7 linked regions of the Oryzias latipes genome follow. The protein of the gene in region 3 interacts with the protein of the main gene of each other region in a pairwise test. Links are inferred from orthologs where the notes say so. Each region holds a gene or a part of one and is shown on either strand. Other genes may lie near its edges. The genes, in order: rad54b; hsd17b14; psma1; pomp; ccnh; keratin, type I cytoskeletal 13; vcp.

Region 1 (4,268 bases), on a different chromosome or scaffold from region 3:
TCCTGTGCAGTTTACTTGTTTTTCTACTTATTTGCTTTTAATCTCTCTTACCTGAGGATTTGACTTCATCCAGCTCCTCCTGTATCTTGTAGACTTCACCTGCACCTGCTCAATCTATTTGATCACACTGTAGAGGCTCTCCTTCATCCTGAAGCAGAGGGTCTCCTGCTCCTCCTCTTCCTCTGGGAGAGCGTTTCTATGGAGAGCTAACTCTGACAACAATGGTGCAGGATACAGCCAGGCAGGCAGCTGTCGGACAAGAGCAGAGGGACAGACAAAAAAGCAGTCAAGTGTTTCACGAACTGTCTAAAGCCCAGTTGTTACACAGCCCTTAGAGATAATAGCTGCTCCCCTTAACGGCGAAAGTTATCTGAGGTTTCTCTGTTTGTCTAGAGCTGTGGGATTATCGTGGATTACACTCTTTTCGTCCCTGATTGGATTGCAAAGTACACACCATCGGATAGCACGTAGCACATGACAACAGGAATCAAAAGATCACCTTCACTGCCCATACTTATTACCCCTGTCCTTGAGTGTAATGGAATAAAGTCGAAAAGAAAGTAGTAAAAAGACCTTTCTAAAATGGTATGAAGTAAACCAAAGACTTCACAACTAAATGAAGTTAAACTTTCCAGATTTTCTAAACAAAATAGAGTTGGAAATATTAAAAATAGTGACTATTCACTAAAAAAAAGCTGCTTTTAATTCCACCAACAAACGGTTCAATTAATATTTGTTCAGATTTAGTCATTACTTTTCACTAAAATTATTATTTTGTTAAATGTACACCTCTATGCTCGATTTGCTGCTGTCATGGACCACAGAAAAGATCTGAAATACGTTTAGGAGAGCTACTCAAAATGTGTGGACATAAACTGGACTAATGCTTGGAATGTTAGTAAAAAATGTTGTTTAAATAACAAAATAAAAGAGGTGTCCTTCAAAATATCGCATTGTATATATCCTGCCAAAAAAAGAAGATTTGTTGATTTGTTGTTGAAAGAGGAAACCATTTATCACCTGTTTGTGGACTGCATACATACAAATATGTTGTAGATGGAAGTGGAAAATTATATAGAAAATTTAACTAAAAGAAACTGTACAATTTTTGGATAAAGAAATTATTCCGGGTTATCTTAATGACAATGTAGACAAAGATTGTATCTTTATTACATAGATGTTTTCATCATTTGCAAAATTCCATATTAATTAAGCCAAATGGTCCAACTCCAAACCTAAATTCCAGCATTTTTTGAATGAAATCAATCAGTACTGTAACATTATCAAACAACTGCAAAACCAAAAGGCAATTCGAACTGATTTGATTTTTTTTTTTTAATTTCATACACTGTATACGTATTTGTACGTATACATAATTTTTTTTTTTGTTTTGTTTTCTTTCTGCAATGTACATATTCAGTAACCCCTGAGACGTTCACTATTTTGTTCTATTGTGTTATTTGTCAATAAAGTCTGAAAAAAGAGGTTTAGGCATGCTGAAAGGATTTGGCTGTCCAGGTGTTCAAATCAAACATGCTTTTTTCTCATTTGACCACGCCTTTTGTTGACTTTTAACCAATCAGAACCCCCAAATAATTCAGCGGGAGACATGTTTCGGAAGTTGCCTTTTCCGCTTACACTGTGGGAAACTTATCAAGTTGAATTGGACGATATTTAAGTAATTCTCCAAAATAACATTTTCTCGTCGGTGGTATGTATCACGCATTGTTACAAAATATCATTACGGCCGATTTAAACTTTCGACTTGACCACGTGATAACAGTTAAACACAGCCTGTCGCTGACTTTACTTACTTCAAACTAGTCTAAAAGTAAAAATCAAAAACGACAAACGGAACCTGATAAAGGACAAAATACATAAATTGTCACTAGAGTCAACAAAAAAGTTTCAAAACTGTTTGTTGAAGAGTTTATATTTATATTGCGTTAATAGAAACACATTTTCTGATCCTGAGTTGCTAAAACGTAGAAATCTTTAGTCGGTTAAGGTATTCTAAATGCAAAAACTAAAAAAAATCACTAGTCTTTCTTGGTAAAGCATGCCTGTTTTAGATCACTTTTTTTCTTCTATACCTCTTTTTTCTTTAAGAATTTCAAAGGTGTAGCTATTGAAAAATTGCCTATGTTTTCCCCATTGTGTTTCTAAAATGTAGTTTATTTCTGTTTGTAGGGGGCACATTGACCTTTTATAAGGAATGAGGCGTTCAGGAGCACCCAGTCAGCTTTTGGGGAATGCAGTGAAAAAAACACGATTTGTTTCACCAGCTTCACTACTTCAAACTGAATCAAAGCCTTTGGCCCCCAAACCGGGTTTGGTGAATGCATTGGATAAAGTAAGTTCCTATTCACTGTGTTTAATTCTCAATTTTACTAATTTCTCTTTTTTTGAGTAGCTTTTGCAGTTTACCTTTTGGCATATCCCTTCAGGGGTCACCACAGTAAATCAGCTTTTCTAAATCACTAGAAGCAAAGAAATATCCACGTTCAGCGGTTTGACAGTCATATTTTTTTGCCTCATGTAAATTTAGTTGCAGGGATTACTAGGGACCAAAATGAGGACTCAAGTGTGTGTAATTAAACTGATATCACTTCTTTTGCAGGTCCAGAGAAGTCTATCTGTGGCAGTGGAAAGTGAAATAAATGTGTCTGCTAAAACCAGCCAAACTGCCCCTTTGTCACGGGCTCTGGCTCGAGTTCTCAGTGCTACTGACAGTAAAGAAAACGAGGCTGACACCAAATCCGTCCCTGGATTAAGAGATTTAACAGAAGATGAAAATAAAGGTATGTTTCTAATTGTTTGTGTAAATTTATAAGGCAGTACTACTTCTGTTGTATCCTAATGTTTTGGGGAGTCATCAGTAAAATAGTCCCTCTGGTCTACAGTAGAATTTTTTTTTTGCCCTTTATTTTTATACTTAATTTTTGTTTTTTGGTGGTTTTGATCTGACTCTTCAGGTAAACATATTTTGCAACCCAGTTTGTGTGTTTCATACAGCACTTTTTATTCAGTCTGACATACAAGTTTAATTTATCTACTGAAAAGATGTCAGTGTTGTAAAATAATATGCTTGACGGAATTAAATAATATCTGAATTTACTTTATATAACACTTTCAGCTAAACTGTAGAATTTATTCATCATCAGCATCAACAATATATATTTACTTTGTTTAAACTTATCACTTGTATTTCCTTAATTATCATAATAATGGGAAAACAATTTGGCTTTTTTTCTCTAACCTGCTCCACCAACATAAGCATGTCCCTTACAAAACTTTACAGACACATACACACACATACTTCCAAAAGGTTTTAGAAAACAATGCTTAAACATTCAAATTACCATTAAAGCTGACAGATCTAATTAGAACTAATACTGGATTTGGTATTGATCTTATAGACATTGCTAACGCTTTTAGTCAATGACATGACGTCTCACCTCCTGGGACAGACTGTCCAGGGTGTACACACCTTCGCCCAGCATAACCGTTACAGGTACTGTTCAATTCAATTCAATTTTATTTGTATAGCCCAAATTCACAACAACAGTCGTCTCGATGGGCTTAGTATCGGTAATTGAAAAAGTGAAACATGAACTCAAAAGGATCATGAATACAAAGAGTTCAATAGGAAAATTCTAAAATGAACTAACAAACTGACTAAGCTATACTGGCATCCCTGCCCTTAAACCCCTTTCACGGTAAGGAAAAACTCCTAAAAAAAACGGACTCCGGAAAAAACGAAGAAACCTCAGGGGTGCCTCCATGAAGGAGGGATCCTCCCCCAGGACGGACAGGCGATTTACCAGAACTCTTAGAGAAGAATTAACTTATCTAACTCTACAACTACATATTTAAAGTCCAGCAGACGAGCTTTATCCAGACGGAGTTGGGGGGACAGTAAGGGGCGAGAGTCGAGCAGGAGACAGGATCCAGAGCCAGGTGTCAGGGCAGGAGCAGAGACGAGGTACACGGTCAGGTGCAGAGCAGAGACGAGCCAGAGGCAGGATCCACAGCCAGGTGTAGGACAGTAGTACTGTTTGGTGATTTGGTTCGGACGGGTATCAAATTGCACAGCGCCGCTGAAATCGCGCTGCTGCCAGACCTTTGCACCACACCCGTCGCTTAAATCACACCACTGGACCTCAGCACGCGTCTCTACCATGTAATTAACTTTGAAAACTGGCTGCCTCTGCCGCGCCACTCGCGTTCGGTGTGAACACAGCATTGCCCTATCCATAAGACATGCT
Region 2 (4,015 bases), on a different chromosome or scaffold from region 3:
GGTGTCCAGCACCCGGTGTCCAGCACCCGGTGGCCCCAATGGCGGCCGTCTGATGTGCCTGTCCTGTGGCCTTGGGGCCCAAACGGTGGGCTAACCTGTGCTCCGCAGTGATGGAAGGGCCCCCTAGGGTGTCCTTAGGACGGTCCCCTCCATTTGGGCCTTGGGGCCCAAACGGCGGGCTATCCTGTGCTCCGCAGTGATGGAAGGGCCCCCTAGGAGGGTCCCCTCCATTTGGGCCTTGGGCCCAAACGGCGGGCTATCCTGTGCTCCGCAGTGATGGAAGGGCCCCCTATGAGGGTCCCCTCCATTTGGGCCTTGGGGCCCAAACGGCGGGCTATCCTGTGCTCCGCAGTGATGGAAGGGCCCCCTAGGAGGGTCCCCTCCATTTGGGCCTTGGGCCCAAACGGCGGGCTATCCTGTGCTCCGCAGTGATGGAAGGGCCCCCTAGGAGGGTCCCCTCCATTTGGGCCTTGGGGCCCAAACGGCGGTCTCCTGCACCTTCTCTCTTGGTCCTACCGGTCATGCTGGGGAGGATCTGGTCCCCCTAATGATCACATGGTACACTTTGGCAGCGTGCTTGCATCTCCCCCCCCCCCCCCCCCCCCCCCCGGTGTGCATGTGCACGTGCACACTTATCCCTGTCTGCTTTATCCCTCCTCCTAACCCACAGATGGACAGATATCTTCCACTTATCTTGGTGTCAGATTTTCACTTTTGGATGTAACATTTGTCTTTCCAGCAGAAATAAAATATATATTTAAAACATAAAATATAATAAATAAATAACAAACAATTAAAATAAAAACCTAAAAGGGGTTTATACAGATATACACCTTGGCTGTCAGAAGATCCATAATAGTCAAATCTGTCCAACTCAAAAGGCTTTCAGCTCTTGTATGTTAGCTCGGTTGTTGGACAGGACAAGTTAAAATAAAAACACCACGTTTTTCGGGTCTAAAGTTATTTCTGGGCCTCTACCTTTTTATTTTATTTTTTAAAGGAGAAATAAAGACAGGCTGACTTAACAAATTTTAAAGGAACTTCAGAAATGTTTCCTCTTTTTATCTAAATTCTCACGAAACTGTCAGTTAAAAGGAGAAGTAATATATTCGAAAGCAAATTCCTTTCAGATTTTTAAAAAAAAAAATGTTTTTAATAGGATTGAAGAATTTCAGAGTTTCCAGTCTTCCCAGCGGCGCTTGAATGCAGCATAGTTTCTTTTTCGGTGCAGACGCAGACCTTTGCCCAGTCGCGGTGTTTCTGTGAGTCTCCCGCAGAGCACAGACCCGCCGCTCGCCTCTCCTGCTGCAGGACGCTGCGGGACGCACCGGCTCGCGGCTTTGCGGCGCTTCCGTGCACATCCGTGCAGGAAAAGCGCAAACACCATGTCCTTCCGCTACCTCGGCAAAGTTGTTATTGTGACTGGAGGGTCTAGAGGAATCGGCAGAGGGATTACCGAGGCCTTTGGTATTGGATCTGTCCACATTTCCAAATGGGTTGCAGGTTCAAGTCCAGTTCCCTGAAAGTCTGTTTGTTTTTCAGTGAGAAATGGAGCCAAAGTGGTGTTTTGTGCATTAGGAGGTCAGCAAAGAGACAGTCTTTCCCTTTTCTTGTACATTATCAAATTAGGCCTATTTGAAGTGTCTTAATTGTGTCACTATTGCAGAAGGTGACACTGTTGAGGCAGAACTGAACAGAACCGGACCAGGATCCTGCAAGTTTGTGAGATGTGATGTCACCAAGGAAGAGGACATCAAGGTGAAGTTCTGGGTTATTACAAGAATCCATCCAACCAGACTGGCGTTTTCTGTCATCCAGTCTGACGAGGGGCTTGTTTCCCACCCACCTCCACAGAGGCTGATCTCCTCCACCGTGGAGCTGCATGGACACATCGACTGCTTGGTCAACAACGCAGGCTGGCGTGAGTCTGCTCAAACCTCTCTGGCCTCCTGCAGACGTGTTGAAGACATTTTTGGAGACCTTTAGGTTGCTGTTTTGTTTGTTTGTTGTGATTTTCAGACCCTCCGCACAAATCCATCGATGACACCACAGCTGAGGAATTCAGAGATCTGCTCAACCTGAACCTCGTCAGCTACTTCCTGGCTTCCAAAGTAAACTTTTCTATGATTAGAAGAACATTTTATTTTACATTAGTTTCAATTATTTTGAATAAAACTGCAAAATCACTATAAAAAGAGCCTTTAGTAGTAAAAATATGAAAACATTGGTTCACAGTTTTCTTTTTGTGTTAGTTTTTAGTACCAAAGATGCTTTATGAGGACAACATTTTGTTTTAAGGATTTTCTTTTTAATTGTAGTGTATGAATGTCCAAAATAGAAAATGAACTTTTCCTAATAAGAACCCTACACTCTAAAAAAGAAATAAGTTTATCTAACTTAATTAAATCACATCATCCTCTCAACTCTAACTCATGGTGCAGAAAGAAAGAAACACAACAGTTTAAATTAAAACAGCTAGACAACAAAACACATGGACTCACACTTAAACCCCAATCTGCCTAGATAGGCAAAGAAAATGGTATCCCACAATTCTTTATCATGATGTCTTGACGCATTGACAGCTTCACACCGAAGTTACACCAACTTAATCAAATTAAGTTGATTAAAAGTAAAATAACAATGTCATTTTTAAGTTTAATGAACTCAAAAAACGATTTATTTTCACCAAACTGAATAATTAAATTAGATCAATGTGAAAAAGTTAATATTTCCAACTACAGCCCAAATACTTTTTTTAGAGTGTAACAAGAACCCTAATCAGAACACAGTTAGGACTGTTCTAACATCTTGTGTCCTTGTGTGTCTCCCTCCAGTTTGCGTTGCCATATCTGCGGCAGCGTCAGGGAAACATCATTAATATTTCCAGTCTCGTGGGCTCTATTGGTCAGAAAGATGCAGTGCCATATGTTGCCACGAAAGTGAGTGAATTTGGAAGGATGTTCTTAAGGCAGTCAGGCGGCTCCTGTAATGCGCTACTTTCTCCACTAGGGGGCGATCATCTCCATGACGAAGGCGATGGCTGTGGATGAGAGCCAATACCACGTGAGAGTGAACTGGTGAGGCATCCCAACTTCTCCACGCCTTACTTTAAGCTGAAGAATAAATTACTCAGTTGTGACCACATTGATAACTGATGTACATTAAGGCAGTAAAACCATCCCTTTGTGGTTTAGTAAGAACATTTATGCACTTTTTTAAATATTTTAATGCTACTTTTCAGATATTAATTGAAGAAAGAACAAAATATTAGTATATATGTATTTGTTTTTCTTAAGTAACTATGAATGTTTTCTTTATGGACTTCCATCTCTTGATACTAAATTTAAATCTTAATGTATGTGCCATAATATGTCCTTTGTTACTTCCTCTGGCTGTAACTCCCTAACATGTATTTATTTATTTATTGCACGCTTTGGAACTTCCATCCTCCCCTCTTTTTTTTATTGTACTCATTTTTTTACGTTCATCCAGACCTGAACTACAAACTACAAACAAAACGAAGCTGGACCAAGAATGAATGTACATTTTATTTGAGGAGAGAGGAAAAAATGTATGTTAAAGTGCAGGTACACTGCAGTCACAGAAGCTCCTAGTTTTTGTGAGCTTTTTCTAGTTGTGTTAAAAAACAGAACATTAAAAGCCTCATTTCTAATGCGGCAAACTAACAAACATTTAATTATATAAATTAAAAATTGTATCACATTAATCTGTGTTAAACATAGTTTCTGCAGAGCAGCAGGATTAAAAAAAAAATCTGCTCCTGATTCACAACAATATGAAAAAAGAAATATATAGAAGTTAAATTTAAAGCTTGTTTTTTTAAATCCTCAGAAAAAGATGTCAATAACATGTTGAAAACACCCAAAACTCTATTATCATCTAAGTGGGTCTTAAAGGATATTTACTAAAAGAAAGAAAACTGCTTTTATTTTGACATCTGTCGGTCTTTTCTGCCCTGCTAACACCTTTGTGTGATGTGGGACAGCATCTCTCC
Region 3 (4,019 bases):
AACAGTCAACCCTGACGTTGGAATTAATAACATTGTTTTGTTTTGTTTTGCTTCAATACTCTTTATTTAGGATTCTTTTTACCAAGAAATGTTGATGCAACCTCTTTCTCCATTTCTCGGCTTTCCTTCTTCAAATTCATGTGTAAAGAAACCGCAGCGGGGTAAACGGTGACTATAACACAAATATGACAAATGCTGCTGCTGTTGTTCGCCTGTCAGCACATCCCTTCAGGGGTCACCTCAGAGATCAGCTTTCAAATAAATAAATAGACTACAGGGATGATGTGGAAATGATGTGAATTTAACCTGTCTGCTCTGAAAGCTCGTTAAGTAATTGAACACAAACTTCCTACAAAATCACCAGAGGGTGAAATATTCAGACTGAAAACAATATAAAATCATGCAAAACTTTATTATTTATTTGCAGATTTTTGCAGGTTTGCTGCACTGTTTTTTATCTTTGTTTTAGTTGATTAAAGTTTTAGAACAATAAAACTACTAACAGTTTTCTTCATGTCCAGATACAACTGTCATTAAATCAGTGTCTTTAGCACAATCACATCTCAACCATGTGGTCCAGATAGTAAATTATGAAATACCACCATTGCAGAATAAGATGCCGAAATCAATCTTTGGTTTGAAGCATGTGCAGTGACATTTGGATTTTCTTTTCCTTTGGTAAAGACATGCATGTTTCACGCTTAACCTAGTACTGTTGCACAACTAGACATGCTTGTTTTAAAAATATTAAACATCAAAATTGATAGAAAAACATTTACTCTTTAGATACTATTTGACCATAAAGACTTTTATAGAATTTGTTTCTTGTGAAATTATTGTTTATTGTTTTTAAAGTGATGGTTTTTGTACCCCAAAAAATGTTTAAAAGGAAAAAAAAGGGAAAAAATAAGGAAAAGAATTATTAATATTAAGTATTTCAGTGGGGGTTCAGTGTCTTGCCCAAGTATTAAGCATCTTACACAATATTTTAAATAATATGGTTTTTAATTAGTCTATTAACTGGTATGGACGCCATTAGGTTAGTAACGTTTTTTTATATTTTTAAAGTTTAGAAGAATTGTCTAACTAGTATTTTAATTCTGACGTATTACTTGTGTTTTGTTTATTATGTTGACATTTAAACCACGAGTCTGTTTGTTTGTGTTTTAATCCTATTCTATTCTATTCTATTCTATTCTATTCTATTCTATTTTATTCTGCTCTATTCTATAGCTCTGCTGGTTCTGTTCGGCTCTTCAAAGGCATCGATCATTGAAATCATCGATCGTTTGAAATCGGCTTTCTGCTGCTTTTCCCTGCCGTCTGCCGAGGAACCCAGGAAACTAAATCGAGATCCCGGCGCAGGCGGAGGAAGCGAGACTTTAGCAGAGATGGTAAGTGTGAGGGAAATTTAACGACAAATCCTCCGTTCGGTACCAGAAAACGTTTCTAGGAATGTAAGAAAACGCATTCGATCCTAAACTGTTACTTTTTAAGCCTCAAGAAATTGTTAAAATATTTCCATGCTAAAGTTAGCTTAGCTAAGTTGGTCTGCACTGTGAGTAAGCAAAACAGCCGCTAACATTAGCTTTAAGTATTAGCTCACTCTAAACAATAGAAGTTAGTTAAGTACTTTAAACTGTTAAAGTAAAACAGGTTTAATAGTGAGAAAACATTGCAAATAGCAGATTAGAAATGTAATATTTTTGGAATACCTTGTTGCGAACAAGCTAATCCTAACAGCTAGCTAAAAGTTAGCATCGGGAGTCCAGTCATGTCTTCACTTTCGTTTTTCTTCAGCTCTTCGCTTTCTTCTAGATTTAAAAACACAACGTAGTCCGTCAGTTATGGAGTTACAGCCATTGGGATCATTTCACGTATCATGATGATGATATTCATATTAAATCATTTGATTTTATTACAGATAATAAGAACCGAACTAAATTAGTAGAAGCAGCAGGTAGCTAGCTGGTTTGCTGCATCCACTGCTGGATTCAATCGTTTTTCTTGAGGATGACACGAACAGGTTGATTAATTATTCAGTCTGTAGTAATTGAAACGCGTCCTTCCAATCCTTATGAGACGTTCTGACCGCGAACACGGTGCAGTTGGTTTGGAGTCTAGAGACGAGAACACTAACCGTACTAATGCAGGACAACTATGTAAGCCTGGCTGTAGATCATGAGAAGGATGCTGTGTTATTATCATAACGCGCGTTTGTGTTCCCTCCTAGTTCCGCAATCAGTACGACAACGACGTAACGGTATGGAGTCCTCAGGTAAGCTGCCCTTTACTTACTGGAGCGTGTGTTGTTGTTTGTGTGTTGGTTTTGTCCGGCTGTGTGTAGTTTGACTGTTTGGTTTGTCGGTGCAAACGCAGGGCCGCATTCATCAGATCGAATATGCCATGGAGGCTGTGAAACAAGGTTCTGCAACCGTCGGACTGAAGTCCAGAACTCACGCGGTCCTGGTTGCACTTAAGGTAACGTCACTCAACACGACTAGAACTGCTGCCAGCCTCCATTACGCTGAAACGGCTCTTTTCACGTGCTCAACTCTCCTTTAGTGTTATTTGAGCCTTAACCTCCATGACAGTGTTTGGTTACACCCATTAATATTCATACTAGCCGGCACTTTCCTGTCTTTCTTATTAATTAAAACATGTCGTTAAAGATCTGTAACACACCACACATTACTGTTGTGCCTTTTTGGTCTGCAGAGAGCCCAGTCTGAGCTGGCTGCCCACCAGAAGAAGATCCTTCATGTTGATAACCACATTGGCATCTCCATTGCTGGACTGACGGCGGACGCTCGGCTGCTCTGGTGAGTTGCAGCGACTTCCATGGACCTGAACATTTTTTCCATGTTTTCTTGTGTTAAACTTCTTGTGTTTGGGGAGAAATGTCACTTTTCATGGGTGTCAACTGTACATCTAAACACTAACATTGGTTAATTTATGGCGTTACACAGATGACAAACAGATATAGAAATCACAGGAGAGCAAGGCCCTCTACAAGCTCTTGGTAAAAGTATTTAATATATGAAAGACTGGATGTGCCTCAATTACTTCAGCTGAACAAACACAAAACTGAGGTTATTGCCTTGGCTGATGTTATTCGCATGTATTTACTTGCAACCAGCACAAAAACTGCAGCCAAGATGCGCATTGCCTGCACGCATTTTAAGTGCATCCATTTTTACATTTTGTCGTATTTAAAATGAAAGTTAAAGCTACGCTCCTGGATTGGTGAACAGTGTTCTCTGCGTTTGATCCATCCACTGGAGAAGCGATGAGCTGCAGAAACACATATTTGGAAAATGATGAATAGACACTTTTTGTTGTGTTTGGGGCTAAAGAGAAGTGGTTTGATGTCATATAGAGCTTCAATCTATTCATCTAAAAACCACCAACTAGGCCAGAAACATGGGTGTAGTCATGGATACAGTCCTATGTTTTGATAAATGCATTAAGGCAGTCACCAAATCTGCAGACTAACATCTTAAAAATAGTTCAAGTATTAAAGATCGGATGTCTTGAACAGAGCTTGGAGAAACTAGTTGATGCATTCACGTTTAGTGGACTTGATGACTGTGACAGTGTTTTTACAGGACTAGCAGAAAAACCAATCAGGAAACTGCCTGTAGAGCCGATGAGAGCCCAGTTCACTTTTCTCCTCTCTAATAATGAGAAACAACCAACAGGCAGCTCTCATTCTCTGCCCGGACTACAGAATCCGGAAACAAACAAACGTTGCAGTATGGAGCTCTGTTCTGTAACGATGAAGAAGCAGCTGAATGTTTGCTGTTGGCCTCATCATTAGCAGCATCTACAGTCAAGTGCTGAGCACGAACCTGAGAACGGCCTTTTGTCTGAAGACCAAAACCTTTTCTGTCTTGCAGTAACTTCATGCGTCAGGAGTGCTTGGACTCCAGATTTGTCTTCGACAGGCCTCTCCCCACATCCCGCCTCGTGTCTTTAATCGGCAGCAGTATCCTCTAAAAATACACTCTCCTGTTCAA
Region 4 (3,801 bases), on a different chromosome or scaffold from region 3:
AGACACCTGTCCACAACCTCAAACAGTCACACTCTGAACTCAACTATGGCCAAGACCAAAGAGCTGTCTAAGGACACCACAAACCAAATTGTTGACCTGCACCAGCCTGGGAAGACTGAATCTGCTGTAGGTAAGCAGCTTAGTGTCAAGAAATCAACTGTTGGAGCAAATGTTAGGAAATAAAAGACATTCAAAACCACTGATAATCTCCCTTGACTTGGGCTCCCTGCAAGATCTCCCCCTGTGGGGTCAAAAATCTCAGAACCACACAGGGGGACCTAGTGAATGACCTCTTATCTTTTTAAGTGGAAGAACTTGCACATTTGGTGGCTGACTAAATACTTTTTCCCCCCACTGTATTTCTCTTAGCAGATTAATTTTTTTCTATTACTGAAAGGCCCGAGACACCCCACAGAGGGAAAAAAAGTGATTCTGTTTGAGGAAAACAGGATTGGATTAAATTGCACACAGACAGTCATCAATTAAGGAAAGTATCTTTGGAGGAAACAATTTATTAATCACTAAACACTTGAGTCATCATATGGTGAGAGGAAGAGCTTCCGCTCTAATAATTCCATGCTTTAATTTCAACATAAGATTCCAGGTAAAAAAATAAAACTGGAGCCATGAATCCACATGAACAAGGAAGTTATGAAATTTATTAGCAATAACAACCAACTTCGTTCACACAAAAGTATCACTAAATGGCTGCTTGGAAATTATTTGTACATAAATGCAAACCAAAATCTGACCCACTGTTTGTCCAGATGTTTACTACAATGTTCCAGTAAGAATGAATGACTTAATCTAATTAGGAACAGAAACCTAAATATTTGAGTGGGTAGCGAATTCTGCAGCTTTCACAACAATCCCAGCTTGTATTCCACCATCATGTGTGGCTCTCCCATCATTTCACTCTGAGCTGGATCTGCAGGAAGACAGTCATTATGGTTAGATTATTGTAAATTATAGTACTTTCTGTGACTCTTTTTAGTTCAAGCTCTCACCGCCGAGGATGTCCTCAAAGCCGATGGTGTCATCGCTGCCTCGCAGTGTGTCGAGAGCCAAATTAGAGCTCTGTAAGAACGGCAGACGCTGGATCTAGAACACAAAATGAAGATTTTGACTAGAGACTTAAGCAGAATTACATGGGGTGTTGTTGCCACATACCTGTCTGGCTGCCCTGTACTCCATCTGCAGTTTGAGGGGAGCATGAAGACCCTGGATGTTTCGAAGTGTTGAGAAATTCATCTTGTCCTGGTTAAGCACAAACTACACCACACAAGAACAAAATCATGTAGTTTTAATTGGGTGTTAACTGTAGTGCAAAACATTGTTTGTGGCTTTAAAAGATCTCAGAAAAAACACCATGGCAAAAACTATTTTCATTAAAGATCATGAAATGTCATTAAATACAAAACATTATAACAATCAAAACAAACCATTGATGATGTAGAAAAAGCATCATCTTTCTCCAAAAGATAATAGATGTACATATAAAAGATAGATGTCATTGTTTTTGGTAAAAATGTAGATTAATCCTTTTTATTTAAAGGTAGCAAGATGTAAACGGATAAACACTGACCAGTAAAAGAAAAAAGTACCATTGCATATATATTCCAAAGCTAAGAGAGGATTTTTATACTGAAGTTTTATTTTTTATTGTTTAAAACAGTTCTGGTGAAAAACAGGGATGGACACAAAAAACTTACATTTTTCTCTGACAGTTCCAGAGGATGGCTTGGAAGAAGCTCATTCTTCACACTGGTGAAGCTAACATATAGAACAGAAAACAACCCATGAAATTAAAGCATATGTTTCTGGAGGTATACGCTCTTTAGCTATCAAGAACATATAAACATAAAGCAGAAACTAGGAAGCATCGTGGTGATCGGTTTCCTACCCGCTGCGGAGAGAGTCCTGGATCCCGTACGATCCCTGTGGGCACAGTCCGGCCACAGGCACGCTGTCTTTTAATTGTGAGCGAAGTCCCCGGGTGTTCTGTGGTTCACAAAAACACACATTTCTTGTAAAATACAGTTCAAACTAAATTCATTCATTTTTGCGATGTGGACTGGAGGTTTGCTGCTAACTAGCATTAGCGTAAGTGACTAATCGAAATCCCATCCCATCAGTATAAGGACAAAAACAGCGAAAAGCAGCAGTACAGAAAGGTTAAATAAATTAAAGGAAAATAAGATTAAATAATCAACGTGGTTAATGTACAATACTAAGTATAACGATTTAAATGTCTCAATTACCATTGTGATTCAGTTTTCCTCACTTTACTTTCGATGACTTCGAACTTCCGGTTGGGTCGCACGAAGAAGACGACACATCCGGAATAAAAAACAAACATCAGCCAAACGTAAATAAAGCTAAACATTACATTATTATTCCTGTTGTGAAAAATAGTAGGTATTGGAACTTTGATCCCTAAAATATTCGTACATACCTGGAAACAGCGAATAGGATGTACCGTGTCCACCTGATCCAACGATAAATACCACAACTAGACGCCTAACTCTCAGGCAACGGGGGTATAGCTCAGTGGTAGAGCATTTGACTGCAGATCAAGAGGTCCCCGGTTCAAATCCGGGTGCCCCCTCTTTTTCTTACGGTGGTTCTCATACATTTGAAACAAACAAATGTTAGTTGGCTATTAAAAACTACCATGAAAAAAAAAAACATCAAAGATTTGATTTATTTTGTATTTCTCTTTGTTCACTTCAGATGATTGACTTCAGGCCATATGTAAGGCACCTGTGCAAAGCAAAATATTGTCTTTTTTGACTGAGGTAAAAAATGTTTCACCCACTGAGGGTTTAAAGTTCTGAGGACTGGACTTCTGCTGGCACTGAGATTGTCTTTGTCTTTTTGAAAACCTTGAAAACCTTTCAGCGCTGCATAAGAAGTGAGAAATATTGGCTTCTGTTTATGGTTTTGTATTTGAATTTACTCATGCTGGGGAGTCTGACACCCCACAGAAATGAGAACACAGGCCCTCTGAACGGTTGTGGATGCAGCCTGCAGAGTCCTTTGCTGGGGTTCATGTTCTTTCTGTGTCACGAAGCTAAAAGTGGGACAAGAAGTTGTGTTTTACAAATAAATCTTAATGTTTTTAATATTGAATTGAGTATGAAGCACTTAACTAATTACGAAGAAGTGACACTTGTATTAAAAAACATCAAACCACCTCCAACCTTTAATATATTTAATATCTTTGCTTGATTTTAAAATGAAATTTCAACAATTAAATATTTTTTTCAGCTTACAGCATCAGGTATCTTAGAGGGAATTACCAAAAAACTTAGATCTAAATCTAACTTTTTTTCGAAACCATATTTATTCATTAGCTCATGGATTTTTCTGAAGTGATCACTTCAGAATGTTTTTGTAACAAATTGCAGAATTGCGTAATCTAGCAACATCGCTGTCATCAGTGTGGCAAACTGCTGGAACACCTTTTACAATAAAAGGTTCACAAAATAAAAGTTAAGGAAGAAGATTTTAAATAAAATAAAGAAAACAAAAGTTTTACTTTGAAATAATACTAAGGATCTTGGAAGGTATCTGTTATACAATGACATTTCATTGAGTAAACACTTTCAGAAAACTATGCATTTTTCAGCACCAACCACTAGAGGGAGCGGCTGATCAGCAACTGAATTTGCACTAAAGTTCAAAAGTGCTTTGAATCAGAAGAGGACGCTTGTCTTCCATCACACAATGAAGAATGACTTCTGTACCATCTCCCACATTATTTTCACATTTTGTTTATTTTCAGGAAAAGCCATGGTA
Region 5 (4,202 bases), on a different chromosome or scaffold from region 3:
AAAGAAACGAATCAACACAAGCCTTAACTCCATTTCTGCTCACCGACATCCCCCGATTCGACAAAGTTCTCTTCTTCCAAACTATTTATATCCGTTACTGTCTTCATGTATGAACCTGCTTACAGCACCCAAACCACTTCCTGCTTTTTTTCTACGCTGCTTTTGTCTGTTATTACCTACTTAGGCTTGTAAAGAAGTGTTTGTGTAGGATATAGCGGAGCAGAGATTAGTCTAAAGGTTTGTAGTATACACCTGTAGCCTGCCTTGTGCATGCATTAACCCTGAATGGATACAGCGACAATGTTTGGGCCTACGTATCTGCTGCTCCAACAACCATCACCTAAACCCCTTTTATGCCTTTGATGTCATTGAAAGCCTGGATTTCTTGTAGCTCCTCGTTTCTCCGCCATTACAACAAGATGGCGTTTTTGCTTTGTCCTCCGAGTACACCTCTGCTCTGACTGTTTTTCCCACCGATTCACCCTGAAAAGTCCCGCCATGCAGCGATTTCTAAACTTCAAAGTCATAAAGGGTCGGCTTTGTTTGCCTCCCTTCATGTTCTAAGCAGCTGCAACGTCTGGATCTGTGCCTGTCATAGTTTACCAAACTGTTTACTGTAGTTGCACTTGAAGATACCACGGACCTCACCGAGTGTTGGCAGATGAGCCCAGGCGACTCATCGGCTGTACCACTGATGTAGGGGTTTCATACAACAGACGAGGATGTGTTCATTTTTATTTTTCTACCCAATACTGAACCTTTTGCATCTTAGATACAACAACCTGGCTGAAATAAACGGTTACTACATACGCGTGGATTGTTGTTCTCGGTCGCTATTGTTGTGGGTAAATAATGCAGCAGGAATCACAGATTGACAATGTTTAAAGATTGAAATCCTGACTTAAAAGAGCTCATGTGTGTTTTTATGTTTCTTACTTGCTTGAACTGCTAAACTCTGCATGAATCCTCTCCAGCTTCTGTTTGTAAACGTTCACCTCCTCTGCTTTGGGGAGCTCATACTTCTTGAGGAGGCTTTTTGTTCCTGCATGTGCCAAACGCATGAATTCAAAACATCATACAGGAATAACAGCACAACTCTGCCATCTAGTGGTGTTACACTGAAGTGCAAGTTGACTTACGCCTCATTAAGTCGAAAATCTTTGAGAGGGAATCTTTGTCGTCTTTCAGTCCCAAGCACTCAGTCAGGTAGCTGGGGAAGGAAAATAAAATAGGATTTTAGTTTTAAAAAATATATATAAGAAAAAAACTTTTTTGCACCAACTGAGCTTATAATTTAGAAATATCTGAAAAGGAGGAAATGTTCAGAGAATTTTCTTCAAAATATTTGTCACCACCTTCATTTGATCAATTTCTTTCCAGAATAATGTATACCTTTTCCATTTAAATTCCAAGTTTCAACTTGCAAAACCTAATTTGTTTTTCTAATTAAGTTGAATTTCACATACATTGTTGTTAAGGCTAAAGCAAACCTGCCTTTCCATGCTGAGGCCAGCTCTTAAAGCGCTATTCAGAATAGCTGTCAGAGCGATCTGAGAGGGAGAACACAGCAGTCCGGCATCCGTCATGACCGCCTGGGTCAGAAAGTCATCAGCACTCTTCCTCAGTGACTCTGGGTTCTCCAGTGCAGGATAGCGAGTCTAAAAGACAAAGAACACGGATTAAAAACTGGCGATCTGGAGTGACATTCAGCTCTCTTCTGTAAGGTACAAACCTTGAGGTCGATGAGCAAACCCTCTAGCGGTCTGTAGGGGTTGTGGACCACGAGATGAAAACTGAGTTGTTGGATTAACAGCAGTTCATACTCCAGGATTTGCTGAAGAACCCGTTCTTGTCCAGCTGGCGTCTCATGCAGGAGATTGCCCACAAACTGGGTGCTGGACACGTTGAACTCGTCCACTTTGCAGGCCAGGTATGCACACGTCAGCCTGGACAAGAAGGTACGTCAACAGCTGGAAACGTACATGCATGTTTGTAATATATGAACAAACGGAATCGTTCCCATCTTCCTGCAGAAACATCACATTTGCATTTAAACTTTTAGAATGAACCATTCGCATCTTTGAACCGAATGTTTAATGTCTTATCCTTTCCACAGTGACAGTCACTGACATGATGATCCTTGGGTGGTGCTCCATAACAGAGTTGTTGAGGTAGAACCTCCGGAAGTACATGATGGCAGTGCCCTAGAAAAAAAGATGGGCTCCAGTAAGAGTTAGTCGAGTCTGTACACATGAAAAAAAAGAAATGAGACACACACGCACCACAACAGACTTGGGCATTGGAGGCTTAAAAGCGCTGCAGAAGTCCAGGAGTCTCCTCTCATAATGGCGGAATAAAACGTCTTCTTCGTTCCGTTTCAAGAACATGGACTCATACATACCTGCCTGATTTCAAATAAATGTTTAATTAAAAAAGAAAATCGCGTTTTTCCCCCAAACCGTTTACATTAAACGTTTTAAAATGCTTAAAAGAATGTTACCTACCTTCCCACTTTCTATGACTTTTTTACGAAATGCCTCATTGGCACTGCATCTTTTCTGCTCAAGTTCAGCCTCACTTTTGAAGATCCAGTACTTTCGCTGAGAGCTGTTGTGATACATGGCGGCTTCTGATTTACGAGAGCTAAAACCACAACATAATCCTAAAGTAGCTTTATGTATTTTACCACACGGAAATCCTTGAACGATTAAAGTAATCAGCGTAGTGTAAAAGTAGTTAAATCGGGCTGTGTGTTGTTCACCCCCAAGTAGTAGTGAGGACGTCGCGCGATATTTACGTAATGCGGACCCTTGTTGATGACGCATTTACCGTGCTTCCTGTATTAGTGCGTGCTATGATTTTTCCTTATGAAATACTCAATTTCTCATTTTATTTAAACTTATTTATAATTATGTTTCTTTAATATAAAGTTAACAAAATGTTGAAGTGTACACATTTTTACCTCACTTATTTTTAACGGCATGAATTGGACAAACAAATTGTTGAGGTGGAAAGCAATTATTTTTCTGTAAATATTGACCTTTAAGTCTTTCCTCCTAAACAAAATCAGAATAATTAAATGTAATGGACTCACTGATGTGCACACAATCATTTTGAAACATAATTTAAAGTACAAACATCCTTGTTTATTTTTTTTGCTATTGTAACATTGTACCAGTGTAGATGGTCTCCAACAGACTCAGAAAGTATGTTTTAGCCAGAGCCACTCCGCCACCAGTAGTGTTTCTGCATACCGTAATTTGCATAAACATGAGTAATTTATGAATAATAAATGCCCTAGCATTCAGCTGGAGCTGATAATTTGCATATCAGTGCCGCCTTAGTGCCGTGTTATCATGAAGCCCTTCAAGCCTGCATAAACCAAAATCAAAGAAATAGTGCTTTAACAGGTATGTGCTGAAGACTTTTTTTTTTTTTTTTTTTTAAGAAATAACACTAATCTTTCCACAGGCGTAGAGACGCGGCGCGTGCGTCTGAGCTGACAGACAAACGCCTTATTACGTGCGGTGCAGTTGCTGCGAGCACGGCTCTCGCCCGTATATACATGGCTCGGGTTGCCCTGAGAATTGCATAAACATGAAGCGCTGATGCATTATTGATGACACCTTTGCAGCGTTTACTGTATGTTTGCGCACTCGTCTGCTCACGTGCACACGCACGTCCATGCGCCCTTCTGTCTGCGTGTGCGTGCACGATTGCTGTTGACAGTCAGGCACCTTTCCACCTGCTATTTCGCATCATTTGGGGTGTGATGACTCATTTGAAGCCTTTAGTCTTGTGTTACATCTTTGTCACGTTTTTTTTCTTTTTTCTTGACTGCTTTCTTTAAATGTTGAACTCTGCAGAATGACTCTTATTCTTTGAATGTGAGCACACTGCAGTTGATTGTTCTGTGTGTGAGTATCTGGTGGTTTAGAATATTTTTTATCAAAGGAATACCATCTTGTGAGTAAATCTAAATCATACGGAGTCTGACAGGCAGCATTTTAATGGAAAATCAGACTTCGGCATTACCAGATCACACATTAGAGCTGCCTGATTAAGTTAGTCCCATCCCATAATCGGCCCTCCCGTCAGTATTTCAGCAGCTTATAGAAGCATTCCCAGATATTTTGCAAAGTTATGGAAAGATTGACAGTGCAGACGAGGCTAAAGGAAAAACCTCCACAGCTCTGATCAAT
Region 6 (4,062 bases), on a different chromosome or scaffold from region 3:
CCACACAAACAAAGTGAGGTCATGGAAAAAGAATTGGAAGTCGTGGGAGAACAGTGAAGTTAGAACAACACAGGTCTTATCTTCACCAGCAGGTTTATTTTCTTTGGCAGATCACACAAACATGAACACACACACAGCGCCGCACATCAGCTCTTCTTCTCATGACAGCAGATGTTGGGAAAACGAGCCTTTTGGTCTCCTCTGGTTTCTGGCCTGCATGTTGGACTTCTTGGCTGGACGTGGGCACAGTGGTGGTTGTGAATGTGTCATTGAAGCCTCCTGTTAAGAGGCAGGGAGGAAACTGGTTGAGCACAATTCTTCAAGTTCCTCCTGTGAACTTTTCCTCAAATAAACCAACTTACCTGCAGTCATTTATCTAAAAGGAGAGAAGAAGAGATGACAAAGATGAGTCAAAGAGGATCAAATCATGTATTTCTACTTGAACGTTTGTGATTGTGTGCACCTTTGTCTATCTGGCCTCCTCAGTCTCCAGCAGTCTCCTGTAGGTTGCGATCTCCTGCTCCAGCCTGGTCTTGATGTCCAGCAGCATCTTGTACTCCTGGCCCTGGTGCTCAATGCTGCCGCGCACTTGGCCTAGTTCGCATTCAAGCATGTTGATTGTGTTCTGGTAGCCGCTAAGCATGGCGCTGAACCGGCCCTCTGTCTCTGCCAACGTGTTTTCAAGAGCACCTTTCTGTTGGGGTAAAGAAAAGCTGTGGATCACTGATCCTGCAGCTGCGCTCAGCGCGCCCCACCCTGGATGCAGTATGTCACTCGGTTTGTTTGCTTTGCATTTTCTCCTGTTTTGTAAGAGAACAAAGAGAGCTGGCTCTGAAGGTAAGTGTCCCTTTGCCTCTCCTCCTCAGTGACACAATGGCAGTGGGAGGCTCCTGCTGAATGACTGACTGCAGCTGGGCACCCAAACCCCAACCAGAAACAGCCTCTCATTCCTCCAGCTTTTTTATGACTTCCAGAGTTCAGGCAGATGTCTGTGAAATGTTTCCCAGAACAAAGTGTCTCCCTCCCACCTTCCATCCTCCCTTCATTCCTTAAGGATTGCCTCTCTTTCCCATCCTCCCCTTCGCTCCTCGCCCTCTGTTCTGGGCGATCTGGGGATTTTGGTCATATAAGGAAAGATTTTAAAACAAACGTTTGTCTTTACCATGCTGAGCTGGGACTGCAGCTCGATCTCCAGGCCCTGGAGTGTGCGCCTCAGGTCATTGATCTCTGTCTTGGATGTCTGGATTACTTCTGTGCTAACGGCCACCTCTTTGCTGAGAGCTGATGACTAGAATTTAGAAAAGAAGACAGAGTGAGAGGTCTGTATGATTATACGTGTGATGACAGGTTGGCCTGCTGACAGAGGAACTCCTGTTACCTTCTCAGTGAACCAGGCTTCTTGGTCGCGGCGGTGTTTGTCTGTGATGGCCTCATACTGTGCACGGATCTCCTCCATGACTTTGTTCAGGTCCTGCTGAGGTGCAGCGTCCACCTCCACGTTGACTGTGCCCGTGAGCTGAGAGCGCATGGCTGCCAGTTCCTGCAAACATCAGGGGACGTCAGCATTGGTGTCTGTTTGCAGAGACTATAAAAACCAGGTGTCACATCACTGACCTCCTCGTGGTTCTTCTTCAGGTAGGCCAGCTCATCCTGCAGACCTTCGATCTGCATTTCCAGGTCAGCCTTTGTCAAGGTGGTCTGGTCCAGCAGGCGGCGGAGGTTAGCGATGTCAGCCTCAACTGACTGTCGCATCATGAGCTCGTGCTCAAACCTGGTAAGTTAGGAAGAGGCCTGATGTTAGACAACTGCCCGCTAGAGCCTGCATGAAGGCCCTCTGAATCAGTGCTTACTTGGTTTTGAAGTCATCAGCAGCCAGTTTGGAGTTGTCGATCTGCAGCAGGATGTTGGCATTTTGGACGGTGGCACCGTTGATCTGCAGCGGGGATGGGGTTAGTTAGTGTCAGGCATGTGCAGAGCGGCACGCTTTGATGACTGTTTACACAACTTCAGATGTTTCTGTTACATCAACTGAATTGTGTCCTTAGGGCACGTTTGACTTCCTCCTGTTAAGCTGTCATGCTGAATATTTGTGGTTCATTTGTGGAATCTTTCAGCCGCAAAGAAAACACAGATATGTTCACTTTAAAAAAGTGTTGTCTGGAAATCATTGACAGGAACGGCAAACATTTGCAGGTGGCAGAGGCACAGACCATACCTTGTCTTTCAGGTCATTGATGATGGCCCAGTAGTTGCTGTAGTCCCTCTGTGCTGCCGGGCCCTTCTGCTCATAGTACTCTTTGATCTGCTTCTCCAGCTTGGCATTGGCCGCCTCCAGACTGCGAACCTTGTCCAGGTAGGAAGCCAGACGGTCGTTCAGGTTCTGCATGGTGGCCTTTTCGTTCAGGTGCACGGAGCTCTGGTCCATGGCGTTGGACAGGTCAAACCCTCCACCCATTCCAAAGGAAGAGGAGACGGTACGCCCGGTGGCAGATGAGATGCGGGAGCCTCCCATGAAGCTGAGACCGGACACGCTGTGAGCTTTGTGGGGAGCAGCGCTTGAAGTGTAGCTGCGGCTCTGCCTGGTGATGGTGAGCCCAGGACCGCTGGCGATGCTCCTGTTGTACATGGCGGCTGACTTTCTGCTTGTCAGAGGAGAAGACGAGGAGACGAGTGTTTCACAGCTGTGGACTGTTGCAGGACTGTGGAGTTTGATGGAGGGAGGACGGCCGTTAAAATAGCTTTGAATGTGGGGCGGGCTCTGAACGTGGGGAGGAGGAGGAAGTTTCTGCAGTCAAGGCTCAGGCTGTGCAAAACCGTCATTTGTTTTCTTTTAAGCTCTGGGATTTGGTTATTTTCCACCCCTGTGAGGAAAGTGGTGAGGAATGTGAGCAGATCAGAGGAGAATCTTCATGGGCACCCTGATGATTCCTTGTAGAATGTGAGCACAAGCAACTGTAACGTGTGCTCAGAAATACCTGCAGGTATTGTCCTGATCATGCCAGTCACTTGGCAGCTCAGTGCGAGAAAAGGAAGGGTAGATTTATTGTTTTGTTGCCCCTCCGTTAGTCAATAGTCAGTGTGAGCGGCATGTTTCATCCTGATAATATCCACAGTTACGGTTTAAACCTCCCAGGTGTATTATTTCACTTTGTTTGTCCAGCTGAGTTTAAATGCGTTCTGATAGTCTGAGCAGTCAGAGGCCCTCTCAGGAATTCTTTAGGAGCCAGGATGGATTCTTGTTATCAGCTCTGTTTAAATTCAATCATTTTGTCTGTATGTGGTCAGAGCTCACATAGCCGACTGGATACTTGCAGGCTTTGCAGCCTCGAACCACAAACATGTGATGTTATCCACACATTATCATTCACCCCCCTTCATTGTTCAGGAAATCACACAACATCCCGTCTCACATGTGTTGGTCTTGACCTGATGTGTGTTAGTGTGTGGAGCTTATCTCAGCCTGGTTCTTTGCACAGAAACATCTGGCATCGGCTGCGGGGGGAGGGCTGCCTCGTCAGGAAGAAGTGAAGTCATTCTCCTTTGGAGCTGCCAGCAAAGTTTGCTGCTCAACTCCCCCCAAAGCTGCACACACTTGCATGGAGACAAACCGTTGTTTGTGCGATGGCCTCACTTTGAGAAGAAAAACAATCTGGTTTGTGCTCCGAGGATCAGAGATCTGTTCCATCCATGCTGCTGTACTTTTAACGCTGGAGGAGGTGGGTCCAATCCCGCCCAAGTCCTCTACTCCAAAGGAAGAAAAGTCATTCCATGATCGATTTAGATTTCTCTTTGGTTCATTCACTGCATTTTATTGATTGATAAAGCAGATGATGACATTTCCATTGTTGATAGGATTCTGTGTCTTCTTCTGAACACAGCGACTCCTGCATTTTTCTTATGGATTCTCAAGTGATTGTTTGTATGTTATAGATAGAGGATCGACGTTCAATTACGTTTTTAGGTTTTTCATTTAAGGAAGCAACATATTAAATCCAGGATCTGCAACAATAGGAGCCTCCACATTTGACCACTTTGTCTATAAACCAAAGAGGACCAGATTTG
Region 7 (2,597 bases), on a different chromosome or scaffold from region 3:
GGACCAACTCCTGCAGCTCTCTCTTAACATCTTCCAGACCTCCAATATCATCCCAGGTGATGTTGGGAACTTCAACAATCGTCTCCCTCAGTGCTGATGGGTTACTCTGGCTCAGAGCCCACTGCAAGACAGCACTGATCGGGTTAGCATTGATCCAGCCCAGTGCTAGCTGTGTGTACTAATGGACTACTATATGATTTCAAACGATTCCATTACAGGTTTACCTTGAAGTCATCCATGGTAACAGCAAGTGAGTTCATGACTTCAGCATCGATGGTCTCGTCCTCAAGGTCGATCAGGTCCATCTTCTTTCTAATGGCCTGGAGAGCAGCCTCAGAGCAGAGAGCAGCCAGATCTGCACCTACATGACCATGGGTCTCATTGGCAACCTGCAAAAGACAATCAAATTCACTGTAGAAACCAAAGTTACACCACTATGTAAAAAAAACCTGCGATAATGATTAATTACATTTTAACTTAAAATATTCACAAACTAATAGAAAAAAGAAATTTATCATTTATCAAGAAAAAGGCATCTACTTGAACATGTTGTATTTTGGACAAAAATAAAGGACTTTTGAAGGCACAAACCTGTTCCAAGTCCACATCATCAGCCAGTTTCATGTTCTTGGTGTGAATCTGCAGAATCTCCAATCTGCCGGTTGCATCAGGGATGCCAATATCCACTTCTCTGTCAAAACGGCCTACAATGGAAAGGTGTGAAAATAAAATTGGATCAATGAAAATGAAGAAGTTTACCATCTATCTAAAAACCTAAAATTTATAAGATCATCAACTTAAAAACTTCTAACTTAATTCATTAAATTTGTTGAATTTCTTTACCAGGCAAAACATTGACCTCCATTTTAAAAATTGGAATTCTCTTTTTTTTCTTTAAATCAGAATATGAAAAGTTATTTAATTGAAAATTTATAAATTTGAATTGAATCAAAATATATTTATTTGAATTGAAATAGACTTTTTCATCCTTACTGGGATGACAATAGTTTCTAAAGTGCCAGCAAGAAATTTTGTTTCAACATGTTAGCAGCTTAACTTGCAATGCATTTTCAAACAAAATGAACAAGCCACAGGATTTCTTAAGAAAACCTGGTTTGGAAAAACAATTTGTTTCATTAACAAGAAAAAGTTTCTTATTAAAATGAAACTTAAAAAAACCCAAACATTTAGGAATAGAGTGCAACTTAAATTCTATGGTTGAAAGTAGGTCTGATGTTCAAAAGTCTTAACTGCACAGGATCATTTTAAGTCAACATTAGGGCTGCACGATATGAAGAAAACTCGCGATATGCGATATCAGTGATTAATATTGCGATAACGATATAATTTGCGGTATATAAACAATTAGCAAAACAACCAAAAATATTATTCCCATTCCATTACAACAGCTTAAAAATTATACTACAAATGACCCTTGTTGACATAGGAGGCGAACATACAACATAATAGGGCGCAATCCGATTAGTTAACAACGTGAAGGGGTCCACCTGATTGCTCAAATGCAGAAAGGGATACTTTCAATCCATTAAACACTTCAAGTTGCCATAAGATTGTTTGGCCACATCTAAGGTAACCATTTATTGCAAATTTGCTGTCTTTTGCGATATGCATATTGCACAGCTTGATATTGCGATAACAATAAATTTGCGGTATATTGTGCAGGCCTAGTCGACATTCAAATAATAAAAGGCTGCGGGGTGAAATCTAAAACGAGCGACCTAAGGGCTTCTAAAGACTGTTTACCAAATCTCCTGAGAGCCGGATCGATGCTGTTGGGTCTGTTGGTGGCAGCCATGACAATCACATGAGCTCTCTGTTTCAGACCATCCATAAGAGTCAGCAGCTGTGACACAATGCGCCTCTCCACCTCCCCATGAGTCTGAAAAAGCAGAGTGCCATTAGTAAAATGTGTCTATATTTTTTTTGTCTCAGCTAATCTAAAGCACATAGCCAATACAGTCACTAGTACATGAATTTAAAAGAGAAGATACACAAAGAATTGCTGTGCTTTCAAGGGCCTGAACCTAAAACTCATAGTGCACCGACAAAGTTACCACCCTACATTACTCACCTTCTCTCTCTTTGGAGCGATTGCATCAAGTTCATCAATAAAAATGATGGCAGGAGCATTTTTCTCAGCTTCTTCAAAGGCCTTTCTCAGGTTACTCTCACTCTCTCCAGCCAACTTACTCATGATCTCCGGGCCTGAAATAGAGAGAACGATACTTTAACAAGAAAATATCATTGAACACAACGATTCAGATAAATACAAGCATAGCCAATCAGAACACTGACTTTCAGCATCATCTCACCCATACTAGAAAACTTTACATCCAAACGGATATATTCATACCATTAATAAGAAAGAAGAACGCTCCAGTTTCATTGGCCACAGCCCTGGCGATTAAAGTTTTTCCAGTTCCAGGGGGTCCATAAAGCAGGATTCCACGAGGGGGCTTATTTAAAACGAAAACAAAAAATGTGGGGTGAGAGCTTTATTTAAAAAAAATTTTTTTTTAATTTTAAGTGTACAATCCCATTTATCACACACAAAACCACTTGTGTGATTCAGTACC

Evidence for each region.
Region 1: the proteins of psma1 (region 3) and rad54b interact in a two-hybrid assay, tested with the Homo sapiens proteins (2 studies listed by BioGRID and IntAct). The two-hybrid records come from large-scale screens. The link is inferred for Oryzias latipes from reciprocal best matches to the Homo sapiens genes PSMA1 and RAD54B.
Region 2: the proteins of psma1 (region 3) and hsd17b14 interact in binary tests that used the Homo sapiens proteins (3 or more experiments, as listed by UniProt). The two-hybrid records come from large-scale screens. The link is inferred for Oryzias latipes from reciprocal best matches to the Homo sapiens genes PSMA1 and HSD17B14.
Region 4: the proteins of psma1 (region 3) and pomp interact in a two-hybrid assay, tested with the Homo sapiens proteins (2 studies listed by BioGRID, with this or other methods). The link is inferred for Oryzias latipes from reciprocal best matches to the Homo sapiens genes PSMA1 and POMP.
Region 5: the proteins of psma1 (region 3) and ccnh interact in binary tests that used the Homo sapiens proteins (3 or more experiments, as listed by UniProt). The two-hybrid records come from large-scale screens. The link is inferred for Oryzias latipes from reciprocal best matches to the Homo sapiens genes PSMA1 and CCNH.
Region 6: the proteins of psma1 (region 3) and keratin, type I cytoskeletal 13 interact in binary tests that used the Homo sapiens proteins (3 or more experiments, as listed by UniProt). The two-hybrid records come from large-scale screens. The link is inferred for Oryzias latipes from reciprocal best matches to the Homo sapiens genes PSMA1 and KRT15.
Region 7: the proteins of psma1 (region 3) and vcp interact in binary tests that used the Homo sapiens proteins (3 or more experiments, as listed by UniProt). The two-hybrid records come from large-scale screens. The link is inferred for Oryzias latipes from reciprocal best matches to the Homo sapiens genes PSMA1 and VCP.

What each region holds. Positions count from the first base shown.
Region 1 is NC_019874.2:17,754,228-17,758,495, reverse strand, and holds the start of rad54b (DNA repair and recombination protein RAD54B), read left to right. Parts: upstream 1-1,468; 5' UTR 1,469-1,711; intron 1,712-2,190; 5' UTR 2,191-2,215; coding exon 2,216-2,353; intron 2,354-2,620; coding exon 2,621-2,801; intron 2,802-3,879; exon of another isoform or gene 3,880-4,268. Other genes in the region: RING finger protein 151-like, read right to left, coding at 52-69. UniProt on the Homo sapiens protein: Involved in DNA repair and mitotic recombination. May play an active role in recombination processes in concert with other members of the RAD52 epistasis group.
Region 2 is NC_019866.2:3,307,114-3,311,128, reverse strand, and holds the start of hsd17b14 (17-beta-hydroxysteroid dehydrogenase 14), read left to right. Parts: upstream 1-1,215; 5' UTR 1,216-1,385; coding exon 1,386-1,467; intron 1,468-1,542; coding exon 1,543-1,581; intron 1,582-1,666; coding exon 1,667-1,758; intron 1,759-1,854; coding exon 1,855-1,921; intron 1,922-2,019; coding exon 2,020-2,111; intron 2,112-2,834; coding exon 2,835-2,939; intron 2,940-3,009; coding exon 3,010-3,077; intron 3,078-4,006; coding exon 4,007-4,015. UniProt on the Homo sapiens protein: Catalyzes the NAD(+)-dependent oxidation of L-fucose, yielding L-fucono-1,5-lactone, which rapidly converts spontaneously to L-fucone-1,4-lactone. Can also act on D-arabinose and L-galactose, with lower catalytic efficiency. Does not use NADPH.
Region 3 is NC_019864.2:7,545,114-7,549,132, reverse strand, and holds the start of psma1 (proteasome subunit alpha type-1), read left to right. Parts: upstream 1-1,219; 5' UTR 1,220-1,391; coding exon 1,392-1,394; intron 1,395-2,233; coding exon 2,234-2,278; intron 2,279-2,379; coding exon 2,380-2,481; intron 2,482-2,718; coding exon 2,719-2,822; intron 2,823-3,899; coding exon 3,900-3,988; intron 3,989-4,019. UniProt on the Homo sapiens protein: Component of the 20S core proteasome complex involved in the proteolytic degradation of most intracellular proteins. This complex plays numerous essential roles within the cell by associating with different regulatory particles.
Region 4 is NC_019878.2:12,147,822-12,151,622, forward strand, and holds pomp (proteasome maturation protein), read right to left. Parts: upstream 2,371-3,801; 5' UTR 2,265-2,370; coding exon 2,262-2,264; intron 2,002-2,261; coding exon 1,904-2,001; intron 1,774-1,903; coding exon 1,713-1,773; intron 1,273-1,712; coding exon 1,171-1,272; intron 1,102-1,170; coding exon 1,008-1,101; intron 929-1,007; coding exon 861-928; 3' UTR 501-860; downstream 1-500. UniProt on the Homo sapiens protein: Molecular chaperone essential for the assembly of standard proteasomes and immunoproteasomes. Degraded after completion of proteasome maturation. Mediates the association of 20S preproteasome with the endoplasmic reticulum.
Region 5 is NC_019867.2:14,756,282-14,760,483, forward strand, and holds the start of ccnh (cyclin-H), read right to left. Parts: upstream 2,801-4,202; 5' UTR 2,622-2,800; coding exon 2,505-2,621; intron 2,406-2,504; coding exon 2,283-2,405; intron 2,205-2,282; coding exon 2,131-2,204; intron 1,947-2,130; coding exon 1,733-1,946; intron 1,659-1,732; coding exon 1,495-1,658; intron 1,211-1,494; coding exon 1,140-1,210; intron 1,043-1,139; coding exon 937-1,042; intron 810-936; exon of another isoform or gene 1-809. UniProt on the Homo sapiens protein: Regulates CDK7, the catalytic subunit of the CDK-activating kinase (CAK) enzymatic complex. CAK activates the cyclin-associated kinases CDK1, CDK2, CDK4 and CDK6 by threonine phosphorylation.
Region 6 is NC_019859.2:29,293,854-29,297,915, reverse strand, and holds keratin, type I cytoskeletal 13, read right to left. Parts: upstream 2,801-4,062; 5' UTR 2,627-2,800; coding exon 2,216-2,626; intron 1,934-2,215; coding exon 1,851-1,933; intron 1,772-1,850; coding exon 1,615-1,771; intron 1,541-1,614; coding exon 1,379-1,540; intron 1,289-1,378; coding exon 1,163-1,288; intron 695-1,162; coding exon 474-694; coding exon of another isoform or gene 470-473; exon of another isoform or gene 464-469; intron 377-463; coding exon 373-376; 3' UTR 363-372; intron 280-362; 3' UTR 77-279; downstream 1-76.
Region 7 is NC_019867.2:13,580,823-13,583,419, reverse strand, and holds part of vcp (transitional endoplasmic reticulum ATPase), read right to left. Parts: intron 2,478-2,597; coding exon 2,375-2,477; intron 2,227-2,374; coding exon 2,093-2,226; intron 1,901-2,092; coding exon 1,765-1,900; intron 705-1,764; coding exon 592-704; intron 390-591; coding exon 225-389; intron 122-224; coding exon 1-121. UniProt on the Homo sapiens protein: Necessary for the fragmentation of Golgi stacks during mitosis and for their reassembly after mitosis. Involved in the formation of the transitional endoplasmic reticulum (tER).